2 linked regions of the Canis lupus familiaris genome follow. The protein of the gene in region 1 interacts with the protein of each later gene in a pairwise test. Links are inferred from orthologs where the notes say so. Each region holds a gene or a part of one and is shown in the gene's direction. Other genes may lie near its edges.

Region 1 (3,901 bases):
CCGTAAACGCACAGGCTTCTTAACCCTAAAAGCCCTCAGGTGCCCCCTCGCCAGCGGGAGCAGACGCGGCGCCACCTGGGTCGCCCTCGAGCAGCAGGCTCCACAAAGCCCACGGTGCAGGCGCTGCCAGGTGGAGAGATCAGGTCGTCCCCCTTCGCCCCCACGGCGGTGGGTGGCTAATTAAAAAATGCTTATGCCGCGACCACCACCAAGAGGCACCTTTAGCGGTCAGAAGCCCCGTGGAGTTCGGTCACCTGGCCTTTGCGGGCGAATTAGGCCCGGGCCTTTCCCTGCGCAGGGCAGGCGGCCGCAGCCAGCAGTCCTGGCTGGGCTCCAGACCGGGCCCGGTGACATCACCAAACTCCTCCGATCAGCGGGAGGGGGCCCCCGAAATCCCCTAAAAACATTGTGAGTAATCACCGGGCCCGCCCTCCAGACGGAGCCCAGACCGGGGAGGGAGCCCAGCAGCCCTGCCAGCCCCGGAGCGGCGTCGGGACGAGCAGCCTCTTAGTCCCCGGAGCGGCGCAACCTGTCCCCAGCCTCGGGCCGTGGCGTCCGGCGCGCGGCCTCTCCGTCGTCGGCGCGGGGCACAGTTGCCCCCCGCCCCGCCCCGCCCCAGGGTGGCGGCGGCAGCGGCAGCGGCAGGGGCTGCGGCGGCCGCGGCGGCGGCGGAGGTGGCGCAGCGCGCAGGCGCGGCCGGATTCCCGGCAGTGACGCGGCGGCGGGCGCGCGCGGCGCATTTCCGCCTCTGGCGAATGGCTTGGCTGTAGCGCGCGCCGCGGGCCCAGCTGCGACCCCGGCCCCGCCCCCGGGACCCCAGCCATGGACGGTGAGGGCGCCCTCTGACCCCGCGGGGTGGGCGCGTCGGGGCCGCGGGGATGGCGACGGGAGCCCCCGCGCCGCCTTCCGCCCCTTCCTGCGCCGGCGGGTGCTGCGCAGGGAGCGGCCGGCCGGATGGTGGCGCGGGGCGGGGCGGGCTTTGAAGGGTCTGACTCAGTTTCCCCACTGGGTGGCGGGGTCTTGACTCCGTAATCTCCGGGGTGGCGGGGAGCTTCGGCCCAGCTTCACTCCGGGGCCCTGGGCGCAGGTCTGACTTCGTTTCCTCGTTAGGGGAAAGTGTATCCGACTCCGTTTGCTCTCAGGATGAGGCGTGGGGGTGCCCTCCGTAGTTTTCCTTTTGGAAGTAGAACAGCCTCTGACTCCGTTTCCCTCAGTAAGGAGAAGGCGCTCTGGCCAGTTTTCCCTCGGGAAACAGCTGTTTCTGCCTTCTTCACCCCTTCCCCTTAGTTTCACCGCAGGTTCCAGGGAGCGGGCCCTGCCCCAGTGCCCTTGGCGGGGAGGGAGCCTGGCGCTCTGTCCTCTCCGTGAGGAAGCAGGCGCTCCCCGGTAAGGACGGAAAGGGGGAAAGGGGGCTTGTGCTGATCCTTGTCTCCCTCCCTTTCAGACCTGTTTCCCCTCATCTTCCCAGCTGGTAAGTGGACCGCCTTCCCTCTCGGTGATTGGGGGAGGAGTGCCCTGGGGTTAGGGGCGAGGAGGGCAGCCGCCTGATTGGAGCTGGTCCGGGTCTGGCCACAGAGCCCGCCCAGGCCTCTGGCCCCTATGTGGAGATCATCGAGCAACCCAAGCAGCGGGGCATGCGCTTCCGCTACAAGTGCGAGGGCCGCTCAGCGGGCAGCATCCCGGGCGAGAGGAGCACAGACACCACCAAGACCCACCCCACCATCAAGGTCAGCATGACTGTTAGTGGTGGTGTGGGGGGCACAGGGTGGGTTTGCCGCCTCCAGGTGGGGGGTGGGGCTGGGTGCAGTGTCTGGGAGTTAGGTTTGGACTTCCCGGAGTCTCTAGAAGTTCTCTGTACTTTGAACAGATCAATGGCTACACGGGGCCAGGGACAGTTCGCATCTCCCTGGTCACCAAGGACCCCCCTCACCGGCCTCATCCCCATGAGCTTGTGGGGAAAGACTGCCGGGATGGCTTCTATGAGGCTGAGCTCTGCCCCGACCGCTGCATCCACAGGTGAACTCCTGACCAGCCGGGTATGGGGGGTGAGGTGAGGAGACGGGAGGCTGGGTGGGTGTGTAGCTGTTATAGTGTTACTCCATTCTGGACACTGGGAAGAATTCTTCACTTCTAGCTTTGCAAGCAGATTCTCTTTGCCTTGAAATCATCTGTGCATCTCAACTGTCAAGTAGATATGAGCTCCATGGGATAGGAATGGATCCCTAATAACCTCTGAACCCCCAAAGTAACTTCACTGATGAAAATAACATAGTTAGGTTGGAAGAATAGCCCACTGGTGGAGGGAAGGTCGGCAAGTTGGAGGTCAGGAAAAGCCTCTCTGTTAAGGCTTGAATAGTGAGGAGAGCAGAGAAGCATGGGAAAAAACATTTCAAGCAGAGTGAACAAATGCAAAGGTCTTGAAGTGGGGGTGAGTTTAGGGTGTTTGGGAAACAGAAAAGAAGCGGCTGTTACTGAGGGTAGGGAGCCCAGGCAGCAGGGCACAGATGCTTGTCAGCCAAGGTAAAGAGTGGGTTTCTTTACAGCACAATAGGAAGCACAGTGGTGATTTGGTGAATGGGGAGGGGAGGGAGGAACAGACTGGGCAGAGACAATGGGACTAATACATGGAGAGGGACTCAGCTTCCAGAACCTGGGGATCCAGTGTGTAAAGAAGCGGGACCTGGAGCAGGCCATCAGCCAGCGCATCCAGACCAACAACAACCCCTTCCAAGGTGAGGGCTGAGGGATCCCTGGGTGGCGCAGCGGTTTGGCGCCTGCCTTTGGCCCAGGGCGCGATCCTGGAGACCCGGGATCGAATCCCACGTCGGGCTCCCGGTGCATGGAGCCTGCTTCTCCCTCTGCCTATGTCTCTGCCTCTCTCTCTCTCTCTGCCTGACTATCATAAATTTAAAAAATAAAATAAAATAAAATAAAAAACAAGTTGAGGGCTGAGGGAGCAAAGGCTGAGACCTGTCCGAAGCACCCCCACCCTCTCTGGTTCTTCCAAGCCACCTCCCTTATTGGCCAAGACTCTTAGTACTGATGGAATTTTGCTGCCCATTCAGTACCCACTCCCATTTACCACTGGGGAAACTGGGAGCCAGTGAGGGGGCATAACACCCAGGGGCACAGGTGGGTCACACAGTTCAGTGATGGGTCTAGAATCTTCTCTCTCTCCTCCTTTAGGACTCCCACTGTTTGACACACCCTCAGACAATGCTCCCGGGTCCAGAGCTCCCTGCCCCCCTCATCCCCTGCCACGCCTCCCGGTCCCCTGACCGTCTATTCTTGTGGCAGTTCCCATAGAAGAACAGCGTGGGGACTATGACCTGAATGCGGTGCGGCTCTGCTTCCAGGTGACAGTGCGGGACCCGGCAGGCAGGCCCCTGCGCTTGTCACCTGTCCTCTCCCATCCCATCTTTGACAACCGTAAGTGACCAAGGAGCCATGGGAAGGGTAGAGGGAGGGACAAGCCTGTGAGGAGGAAGGGGTTGGTGGGGAATGGCCCACTAGAGGAGCTCTGGCTTCATGCAGGCATCTAGTGTATTTGTCACCTCTTCTGTGTCCAGCTCTGTGCTGGCTGTGGTGGGGGTTGGGGGGGGGGGCGGTTAATGAGACAAAGAAGACCTGGATCTGCCCTTAAGGTGTTAGCTTCAAGGCTGGCAGGAAGTCAGATAGAAGACAGGTACTTGGAATATGTGATGGGAGGATGGTGTGCCCGTAACTGTACTAACGACTCTGGGAAATGAACTCCTGGGAACAAGATGATGTTACAGAGTAGTACTTCAATGATGAAGCTCATAGGAAGTTCACAGATGGGGACGCCTGGGTGGCTTGGCAGTTGAGCGTCTGCCTTCAGCTCAGGGAATGATCCTGGAGTCCTGGGATCCTGGGATGGAGT
Region 2 (3,901 bases), on another chromosome or scaffold:
AGCTGTCTACACTCACTCCAGTTTTCTTCCTTTCCAGAGATGATTGGGGATGATTCTTCTAAGGTCATAGCTGCCCCTGGGTTGATGGCACTTGGAGTAGGGGATGAGTCATGGGGCATGGGGTTGGAGCTCACCATGGGGGAGGAGCTTGCCTATAACCTCCGTAGGCCCTTTAGGCCCAAGGAAAGGAGGGACAGGGAAAGAGGAAAGATGTGCTGGCATTGTGGCTGTGGCTGTGGTGAGGACCTCAGCAGAGCATGACCCAGGATGTCTGGGGCCTCCCCATCCTGGCCCCACCATGAGGAACTAAACTTCCCTGATCACTAGGGGTAACCAGATGTTGTAACCGCCTGGAACCAGTGTTTCATCCTCGTGAAGAATGACCACCCTGCTTTTTTTAGATAATAAAAACATGACCACTCTGCTTTTTTTTTTTTTTTTTTTTTAAGACAAGAGCTTGCCTGAGAAAACTCACTTTCAAAAAACAAAACCAAGGGACGCCTGGGTGGCCCAACGGTCGGGCACCTGTCTTGGGCTCAGGTCGTGATCCTGGGATCTGAGATGGAGTCCCGCATCAGTCTCCCTACGAGGAGCCTGCTTCTCTCTCTGCCTATGTCTCTGCCTCTCTCTCTCTCTCTCTTTCATGAATGAATAAATAAATCTTAAAAAAAAATCCTCACACCCAGTTCTATGTGATTTAGGAAGTTGACCCAGGAGACCCTCTATCCAGGACCCAAAGGGAGAACTGCCCGTTTACGGGTAATAGGTATCCCCTTTCCCTACCCAAACTCCTGGGCACGGATAGATGAGAAAACCACAGAAATTGAGAAAAATGGGTAGGCGATAGGAAGCAGAGCTTTGCCATCCCATCACCTACATGCTCTCCCTGCGTGGTATGCAGCCTGTGCAGACGATTAATAAATATTCCTTTAAAAACGAATGAATGAGTGAATGAATGGGAAAAAATGAATGAAGAAATGAAGAAGGGAAGGAAAGAAAGAAAATGCATGGACTTGAAGAAGGAAGAAGGGGGAAATATGAATGAATAGATGGATGGCGGGTGGTCGGACAAATGGATGGATGGATGAACGGGTAAATTAACGCACGAGTGACTCAGGACCGGGTAACCCCGGAGTGGAAGCCAACGCGGGGGGCGGGGCAAGGGGGATTCCGGGGGGCGGGGCCTCGGCCCGGAAGCGCCTGCCGGGGGCGGGGCCGGGGCGGGGCCGGGGCGGGGCGAGGGAGCGGGTCCGACTGGGCAGTGCGGCGGCCGGAGTAGCCGCTGCCGTGGAAGCCGCCGGCGCTGCGAGCCTCGCCCGCGCCGCCCGCCGACCCCTCGGGCCCCCGCAGTCCGGGCAGGAGGCCACCCCGGGCCGGGCGCCAGCTCTGCGAGGCGGACCTGCAACCCGGAAAGGCGGCGCGGCGGAGCCCGGAGCCCGGAGCCCGGAGCCGGATCCCGCTCGGCCCCAGCCCCCGCGGGCCAGCACCCCTGGCATGTCGGAGGCGCGGAAGGGGCCGGACGAGACAGACGAGAGCCAGTATGATTCGGGCATCGAGTCCCTGCGCTCTCTGCGCTCCCTGCCCGAGCCCACCCCGGCCCCAGCCTCCAGGCCCTCGGATGGCGGCGGCCCCCAGCCCTGGACCCATCCTCCGGGAACAGCCGAGGGGCCACGCGAGAAGGAGGACACGGACGCGGAGCGGACCGACTCCACCTACGGCTCCTCGTCGCTCACCGAGCCCCTGCCCTTGCTGGGGGGCCCGGAGGCCGAGGACCCGGCCCCGCGCTCGCCGCTCCCGGCCGCGGGGGCGCTGAGCCCTCAGCAGCTGGAAGCGCTCACCTACATCTCCGAGGATGGAGACACGTGAGTATGGGGTCTGTCGAGGCTGTGCGGGGACCCCTTCCGATCAGTGCTCAGCCCTGGCCTGCGGGATCCTCAGCAGGCCGGGGGCCCACTCTGTGCGGATCCCTCACGACACGGTCGCTGGAAGGGGCAGTCCCCACTCTCTCCTCCAAACTCCAGGCTTCACTCCCAGCCCGCTCTTGAGCTCTGGCCAGCCCCGGACCGGAGGCCCTGGCATCATCTCTCTGCCCTCCCTTTGGGAGCTGGGCACAGCTGACAGGGCCCTTACCAGACACCTGGAACCCCAGCCAGCAGCTTGGAAACCTCCCAGTAACCCGCCCCTTGGAAGGGAAAAGTCCCCTGACCAGTCCAGGTTTTTTTTGTTTTTTTTTTCTTGCTGGGGGAGAAGGCATCTTTGTTTGCTCAATATCTGGGATTCCCAGCCCCTGACCTCAGAATACCCTGTGTCAAGAAACAAAAGGTGCCAGTTACAGGTTGCCAGTGCAGGAGTGGGGGGGGGGGGGGGCGGTCAGGAAGCTTAGGATGAGGGTGCTGCCAGGGTGCAGAGCTGAGGCTAGCTGTGAGGAAGAGGGGGTGAGCCAGGCTGGGGCACTCTTGCCCCAGCAGACAGACAGACAGGCGGCTGGCTGCCCAGCTTACTTCCTTCTCTGCTCTGAAAGGGGAAGTGAGGGCTAGAGTCAGCTTTACCGACACCCTCCACCTCCTGAATCCCCCAAGTCCCCCTCACTGTCCTGTCTGATTCCCTTATTTTACCCTCCCTCTCTTGGGCCCAGATGAAGTTTGGTGGGGATTGGGCCTGGCGGCTGTGGGGGTGGGGGCGGGGACAGGCAATTTAAGTAAGAGAAGCACTTTGTGTAGAAGGGACTGGCCATTTGAAGATTTGCCCCTTAGGGAGAAGAAACAGTGTCAGGTGAGGAGGTGGCTGGGATTTGGGGGTGAGAAACAGAGTGGGGCGGGCTGGGGTCCCAGATCAGGGATCCTGGAACGAATAGGGGTGGGGAGAGTAGAGGAGGCTGGAGTTATCTGTCCTGACCTGCTTTTTGGAGATGGGAAGGTCCTAATCCTGGGTAGCCTTTGACAAAGATAGCCAGTGGACCCAGTGGGTGGGACAGGAATGACCCCAGGCCTTTTTGTAACCTGCCCAGATCACCAGCCCTCAGGCACAGAATCAAGATGGGGCGGGGGGGCGGGGGGGGGGGGCGCTCCATGTGGATACCTATGACTGACCTTTGGCCTAGGGATTGGAGACTTCTGACCCTGCTGTCCTTTGTCAGCCTCTCAGCTGCAGCCTTTACCTAGTTAGAGACAGGTGTGTTTAGAGGAGGCAGGGGGAGGTGGAGAAGAGGTGGCAGGACTTCCCAGGAGGTCCCAAGAGAGGAGGGGGCACTCTCTTCCCTCAGAGGTGTCTGGCCTTCTGGAAGTGGAAAGAGGAAGTGGGAGGAGGGGAGACAGGGAGAGAGGGAGGTGGCTGCAGGAATGTGACCTACAGAACAGGCCCTGGCCGAGGGGATTTCCAGAGCGGTTCCTCCGCCCTCCCTCCCTCCGCCACTCTCTCCTGGGCCTCTCCTGCCACCAAGCCTTACCCTCCTCTGGCCTGAGCAGCCCCCTCCAGGGCCCAGAGAGGCCTTTACCCAAACTACCCCTTCAGGGCAGTAAATGCCCCAAGGCAGCTGTCCTGGCCTCCACCTTCTAGCTCTGGCTTTCATTTTCCCCACCTGATGTGGGGAAACCCCAGGACTGGAACTTCCCCTCCCAGCTGCCCCCTCCCACCCTAGCAAGAGGTGAAGGCTCTTTGGCCCCCAACAGACACACATTTTCTGCACACCACAGACCTCCCCTTGGAAGCATATGCAGAGCAGAGGGCCTCTGGTCAGGCCCCACCCAGTCCCTTCTGTGTGAAGAGTGGCCTTTCTGATTCCTCTGGGATGGGCAGCAGGACAGGATGCCTCGCTGTCTCCTTGCTCCACTTCCAAGAGCTTCTCTTTTCTCTCCCCTGGAATGTGTAACATTGAGTTGCTGGGAGTCGGGGTGATCCCACG

Evidence for each region.
Region 2: the proteins of RELA (region 1) and NFKBIE interact in binary tests that used the Homo sapiens proteins (3 or more experiments, as listed by UniProt). The link is inferred for Canis lupus familiaris from reciprocal best matches to the Homo sapiens genes RELA and NFKBIE.

What each region holds. Positions count from the first base shown.
Region 1 is NC_049239.1:52,050,924-52,054,824, forward strand, and holds the start of RELA (transcription factor p65), read left to right. Parts: upstream 1-1,128; 5' UTR 1,129-1,143; coding exon 1,144-1,213; intron 1,214-1,444; coding exon 1,445-1,471; intron 1,472-1,554; coding exon 1,555-1,727; intron 1,728-1,867; coding exon 1,868-2,016; intron 2,017-2,640; coding exon 2,641-2,732; intron 2,733-3,297; coding exon 3,298-3,429; intron 3,430-3,901. UniProt on the Homo sapiens protein: NF-kappa-B is a pleiotropic transcription factor present in almost all cell types and is the endpoint of a series of signal transduction events that are initiated by a vast array of stimuli related to many biological processes such as inflammation, immunity, differentiation, cell growth, tumorigenesis and apoptosis.
Region 2 is NC_049233.1:12,864,610-12,868,510, reverse strand, and holds the start of NFKBIE (NF-kappa-B inhibitor epsilon), read left to right. Parts: upstream 1-1,363; 5' UTR 1,364-1,494; coding exon 1,495-1,862; exon of another isoform or gene 1,863-2,151; intron 2,152-3,901. UniProt on the Homo sapiens protein: Sequesters NF-kappa-B transcription factor complexes in the cytoplasm, thereby inhibiting their activity. Sequestered complexes include NFKB1-RELA (p50-p65) and NFKB1-REL (p50-c-Rel) complexes.